Linked DNA regions of Drosophila melanogaster. The protein of the gene in region 2 interacts with the protein of the main gene of each other region in a pairwise test. Each region holds a gene or a part of one and is shown on either strand. Other genes may lie near its edges. The genes, in order: CG8568 and CG31820.

Region 1 (3,932 bases), on a different chromosome or scaffold from region 2:
CATTTTGCTTTATTCCGCCGCCCGCCTTTGAATCGAAATAATGATTCGAACTTGGCAAGTGTCTGTCCCCCTTAACGCTTAACGAGATTGCAGTTCGGCTGACTCTCCTCCGCTGGCCTTTGGTCATCGGCCATTGGCCATTGGCCATCGGACACCGGCCACCGGCTGATAAATGAGTCTGGGCCAGACATTATGCAATATTGGGGCCCTAAGGCGATTGGGACCGGTACCCGAAATAGCCACCGAAATACGCTGCCATTCAAATGCAGTGATGCCCCAATAGTTTGAAATATCTCTTTCATAAATATCTCTTTTATAAACATTAATGATTTGTTAATATAATATCATAGCTTATGCCAAAAATCATAGAAATATTTTGTTGTTCAGATGCAATGCAAACAAAGAGGTTTTCAAATTTGTTAATTTATCTTCTTGCAACGTATTTCACTTCTTGAAAACAGATACAATTTTCCGTGTAGTTCGTTATTGTTGTTAAAAGAAAGGACTTTGCAGTGCCAGAGATTGTTATAAAAGGGTTAAAAAAGCCCAATTTGCTGAAATAGAACCATCAAATGGGAATCGCAACAATCGAATACAAAATGAAATGAAATGAAACAGGACGTGTTGCCCAAAGGACTGGTTTATTTGCTTGTTGATGCATTCGAAGAATGCCATTTTGGGGAAAAGGATGAACCAGGGAAGAGAATAAACTAGTGACATCCACAACGGATGCGGCAATCGGATCGATAAATCAGGCTTGTTTATGGCAACAGCAGCGGCCATAACCGTAACTCCCGCCGCCGGCAATGGTGCGGTGCCCAGTTCGAAAAACGAGTGGAGTGGAGTCGAGTCGAGTGGAGGGTTTCGGTTTGTCCATGGGGCCATGACCTGCCTCAAGTGCTTTGCGTAACAACAACAACACCACGCAGCAGCAGCAGCAGCAACAACAAATGCGGCAGGGAGTGTGGAATTTTGTTGTTTTTGGCTTTCCCAGCCAGTCACGATCGCCGCAATTTTCTTGTCACTGTCACCCGAAATACGACAAAAAAACAAAAACCGCTCGTCGCACGCAACAAAGCAAAGCAGCAACAGCAGCAACATCGGCTTAAAAGACAAATAAACAAAGCGGCTGCCACAGTAAAAACTGCAACTGCACGAACAGCAGCAGTAACAGTAACAGAAACAGTAACAACAATAGTAAAGAGGAATACAAAAAAAAAAAAAAAATGGTTGCAGCAGCAACAACAGAAATTGGCGATTCGCCGCTGCTGATAAGAACTAAATCGTCTGAGATCAATGCGAATATGGAATACCCTAATCAGGGAGTTAGGATATGTTTAAACAACTATGGATTTTTAAATAAAAATAATAATATTTTTTAAAAAACAAACCATGCTGCCAAAAAAATTCAAGTCGCAAAGTGAAATAAATGCAAATCATAAGAAAAGTTTTAAATTAAACCAAATCACAAATAAAATAGGATCATAAACTTAATAATACTAAGAATATATATTATTGGGTTATATACATAATTATTATAAAGAATTTATATATTATATATTTTATATTATAATTATATATTATTTAAATATCTTGTTTGTTAAATATATATAATACTTTATTTAATTTCAACTGAATATACATTTGATTATGATACTCAATATTTGTTAGAGTAGAATTATAAGGATTTTACTATTTGAAGTTCTTAAGCATATCGGAATGTACAAAGCTATTCACTGGACTGTGCTACCCTTTTTCGAGTAGTGTACAAATGGTTTGCCCGCAAAAACAGCAAACAGCCGCAACGAGCGACAATTTAACGAGGCTGCCGCGCTGCCGTTGGATATTGCTGCTGCTGCGGCTGCTGTTGCTGTTGCTGCTGCGTGGTGCTGCTGTTGCTGCGGTGTCCCCCCAGCAGCAACATTTTGGCCTCTGCCGCGCTCGCCGTCGCAGTCGCTGCCGTCGACGTCGACGTCCACTTATTCGGGCGGCGGTTTCCATTTCATTTTTAAGCTAACGCTCGTCGCGTTCAGCGTTTTAATATTTAATTGTCGTCGATCGCGAGCGGTTGTCATTGCTCCACTGGAATAATAGTTGAATTGCCATTGCCATTGGATTGCGATTGCCACGGCTGTACCGTTACCGTTAATCGTGAAGTGATCCGGGAATTCGCCAAGAGAATACCACACACAATACCATACCTGAAACGCGTTGCAGCACCCTTTTTTGTTCAGTGTTCATCAGTTTTTTGTTCAGTGTGCAGTTTGACATCCACAGTGGCCATGATTCCCTGGATTTGCCTAAGCGCGGCCATTGTGCTCATCCTGTGCCCCCTTCACACATCCTCGCGCAGCTACAGCAACGGTCTGATCTTCTACGAACTGAAGACCCACCGACCCTACCTACCGCCCACGGTCAGTGTGTCCAGGGGCCGAAATCTGGCCAGCGTCAAGTACTCCGAAAAGGGGTCCATCTGGTCCACCTTTGGCCAGCCCTGCGAGTGCAGCGGACCCACCTGCGGATGTTGCGCCGGTCTCAAGGTCGATCAGTACCGATTCGATCAGAAAGGTGAGAAAGCCCATGCTTCGTTAGCTATTAATGGGGAATAGAATATTGCAATACTTTAAATGTTTAGTAGATTATTGATTAGGAGATTAGTAATATGAAACAGTGTGACATTCGAGACATTATGAAAATTACAACCTTAGTTATAATTTCAAATTCAGAATGTTAAAAATATTTCTCATTTCTTTAGAAAGAAATGGTTTTGTATTGATGTATATTATTATGGTTTGAAACCAACAAGAACATTGATTACGAATAACATGTATTATATCTACGCGAGAAAGGATATGCATTTAGTAGATTTTTTGCACAGTGCACTTGTTATTTATTTGGTGAAGAAAACCATTAATGGGTTTTCATTTTCAGCATGCTATTTAGCCTTAATATCTTAATATACACTAATGGGCACTAGGTTAGTAATCGCCGTAGGATCAATCCGTCGGCCATATGCTTATGCATAAATTGGGATCTTTGCCGTCACTTAGCCTGGTCGGAATCGTGGCTCCTGGCCTGCGGGTGGTGGCCACACATATTTGGCTGCGATTTCGGCTGGATTCCAGGCCGATTTCCTTGGCCAAGAAACCGATCTTGGCCGCGGGTTGGCGGCGCATGCCGGAGACTACAATGCGATCGGTGGTTTGGCTTGGTTTCCATTTCGCTCCGCTTCGCTTCGTGACATGCCAGCATTTGCCAATCAAAATGCCACAAATTGTTGGCGCTTCCAGCGGTGGCCACCCCCTCATCGCCTCATCCACCATCCACCATTCAGCACCCAGCACCCACCATTTGCCTGGGATTCGTCGACAGTTTGCCACCCGCCACTTTCATTCATTGAATCGAATCGTTTCATTGTTGTGCCTATCTGTAATTTTGACTCAACGTTTTCTTTCCATTTTGCCTCTGTTTGCAGTGTGCGCCAACGTGAGCTTCGTGCCGCATCTGGAGGAGGCCCAACTGGAGGTCTTTCTTAATGGCAGGCCCTCCTCGAAATACGGAATCTCGGTGCGCAATCCGGCGCCCTTCTGCATTCCCGTCATGATGGGTGTACCGATGGCCATGTGCGTCCAAATGACCGACGTCACAGTGGTTGGGAACAACCTAAACATGTGCATGGACTTTGTGGTTCGGATGGCCACCACCGATCTCTTCGAGATGCATTTCCAGTGCATGCGAATGGGTCTGGATGGTCTGCAGTATGTGGACAAGAATGGCAAGCCCGTACTGCCGATGGGAGATGGTCAGAGCGACGATCCGGAGGAGTACGAGTACGCCGAGCTGGAGGATCAACCGGAAGAGTATCCTTATCAAGAGGATGTCAAGGAGGAGGCTCCATCCCAGGGCTATCAACCAGATAACAATCAGCAGCA
Region 2 (2,939 bases):
TGTCAACACTGCGTTTCACCGGTCGGGACTTTATACCCACGCCCTGCGGTCCTTGCGATAAGTGTTATGTTCTAGATACTAGCCGCAAGAAGAACACCAACAACTGCTATGTTCCGCACATCCTGTCTCCACTGGATGCGCAGCTCTGCACACTGGCGAGTACTCAGAAAAAAAAGGAAGACGAATAAACGCCAGGAGGAAATGCGGTCTTATACTACTAAAATTATCAGTGTAGATCTTCTTGTACCAGCCATTTCCATGGGAAACCAATAAAAATTTGAGGGACTAATACTGACTAAGTAAGTTTGTTCCTTAGTTAGAGATCTTGTACCTACGCTGTCGCGCCTAATTATTTTCATATTTTTCCTATCGGTATCCTGGTCCTGGTAAAACTGTCGACAATTTTAGTATATTTTTTTTTAAAGGAATATTAAATTTGAGCCATACAATTTCAAGAACCATTAGAGAAAGAATTATACCTCATGGTATACTTAGGATACTCAATCCTAGTAAGATTGTGCTATCTAGGATTTTGGTATATTTTCTTATTTTTCATATACGTATCAATGGAATATGAAATTTCTCAAGAAATTTGACAAATAGTAAATAAGAAGTTACTTGTTTAAGTACATTAATTTATTGAAAAGCTCGAACCATTGTGTAAGTGAAAATGTGGTTCAAACCAAAAGCACAAAAAAATTTCACGTCGTTTTCTTCAGGAATTGTCGTACCTTGGGTTTCTCAGTAAAAAGGCCCAAAGCAACCCCATTCGCCGGCACAACAGCACCTGTTAGGAGGACATGTCCAGGGACCACAGGGAGGATTGGGTCCACAGCAGCAGTTATTATAGTTCATGGCTGGCAGAGCGGGTCCGACGGGGCCATAAGCCAGGGCATAGGATACCGATCCACAAGCTCCTTGGCAACACATCTTCGGGAGGATAGGTTATAACTGAAGGAGATATTCGATAGAAAATCTTTCGGGGAAATTAGGACTACTCACATTTTGTTTAAGGCAAGAGAAATGCTTGAGTAAAGATTTCCAAAAATGTTGAAACACGAAATTTTTTCGTACTTTTGGTTTATGTACTGGTGAAAGCGTACGGAGCTGTTTACAAAACAAGTAAATAGACTGGAATGAGCTGAGCTAAGAAAACCAAGCCCATGCCCTGGGAAATTCTTCCCGAAGCCAACTTGATGTGGAAAAATTTAAAACCAGCTAGAAAGCCAGAAAGGAAATCAAAGTGGGCTAGAGAAACTGCCTTTAAAATCGATCAAAGTCAAGTTGTTGATGCTGCTCTCCTCCTGGCTGAGCTCACAAATTTCACACATCAATGATTTAACATCGAAGCGACAAATACAAAAAAATTGAATTTCTCTAACGACAAAACAGCAGCGCAACAGATTCGCCCCTCTGGCAAAAATAAGAAATCATTGAAACATGTCTAAAAAAAAAAAAAAAACGACGACTCTGGGCAGAATAACACCAGTATGAGATGGGATGGAAGATGCCGAAAGGATTCTGTACAGGACTCGCTCTAAACTGGGGCAACGGCAATGTCGAGGCAGACATGAAAGTCTATTAGACTCAACGAAGCAACCTTAACGCCATTTTCCAGCTTCCTTCGGTTTTCGGGGGGTTAATGTTAGGGCATGTGTGTGCGGGACAGGATATAGGATATACAGGACCTCGTGTGCGTCTGCGGGCGTTGTGATTCACAAAAGCTGACAAGCTCATCGATCCCTGAACATTAGCTAAACATAAATTACGCAGATGACTGAACAACAATTGAGGCGTTTATTATAATGTGTGTTCACACTTGAGGCTTTCAAAAGATGCACTCACAGCATATACATATACATATATCCATATATATGAGAAGTCTGTATCAGAGAATGGACAATGTAACTTATTTAAACTAAATTGGAATTGTTCAAATGGTATTAAATCGGCCAGCTTAAATTTTGAATAATGAAAAGCAATTGTTTTGGTTGTGATCAGCAAATCAGCAAATGTCAAATAACTACGCTTCAATAAATAAATATTTGAGTTTTTATTATATACTTAGCTTTAAAATACAATAAGATTAAAAAAAGATAATAACTGAAACTTATTTCATAATATTTTGTGCTATCAAATTTTGTGCTTACCTTAAACGCTGGATTTTATAACAATTTCAAAAATTCTCACTATTAACATTGGCAATGAATCCTCCGCTTGGCATTCCATTTGGCCTTATAATTTATTCATTCAACTTGTTTAAAAAGCAATTTACATCGATTTACCAATAACAGCTCGCTGTTGGAGAAAAGGAAAAACCACAGACCCCCAGACAGTTAAGAACTATTGCGAAACTCATTTCTAAACGAACCAAAAAAGGGAACCCAGCTTCAAGACTGCAATTGAGGGCCCTCCACATTCCTTCGAACCGAAAAACAACACCCCACTTAAGATAATCTCATTGGTAGGATGCCAAAAACTTATCCCCCTGCACACACACACAGTGTATAAAAATGTCACCACAAAAAGGGAGAAACACCAGGGAAAAGCAAAACAGCAGGGTAAACAAGTGAGGCTTCAACTAAAAAAGGTATTTCCTTTTAAATCAAATACAAAAATTTCTGCCGGGATTCCAATGCCAGTGCCTCTTGGCCGCCCTGCCTCTTTTCTCTTTTTTTTCTCATTTTTTTTTTCTTTTCCAAGTGGATACGATGGGCACTTCATTTCACTCCAAAAACATATTGAGCCGGGCCACTTGAGTGTGCGCCAAGAGATAAGCGCAATTATATGGCTTCCACTCCCTGAATCCGGACATAAATGGGAGATCGCAGGGGCCGCAGGACATTGGGACAGTGGACATTGGACAACCGCCCAGCGTAAACTGTATAAATTAGGTAAAAAGGAGAACTTAACGTTACTTTTGTGACACGGCCTTCATT

What was found.
Region 1: the proteins of CG31820 (region 2) and CG8568 interact in a two-hybrid assay, tested with the Drosophila melanogaster proteins (one large-scale study listed by BioGRID).

What each region holds. Positions count from the first base shown.
Region 1 is NC_004354.4:17,450,679-17,454,610, reverse strand, and holds the start of CG8568 (uncharacterized protein), read left to right. Parts: upstream 1-2,067; 5' UTR 2,068-2,282; coding exon 2,283-2,568; intron 2,569-3,475; coding exon 3,476-3,932.
Region 2 is NT_033779.5:16,005,165-16,008,103, forward strand, and holds CG31820 (uncharacterized protein), read right to left. Parts: upstream 1,116-2,939; 5' UTR 1,003-1,115; intron 952-1,002; 5' UTR 931-951; coding exon 742-930; 3' UTR 625-741; downstream 1-624. Other genes in the region: CG13245 (uncharacterized protein), read left to right, coding at 1-188.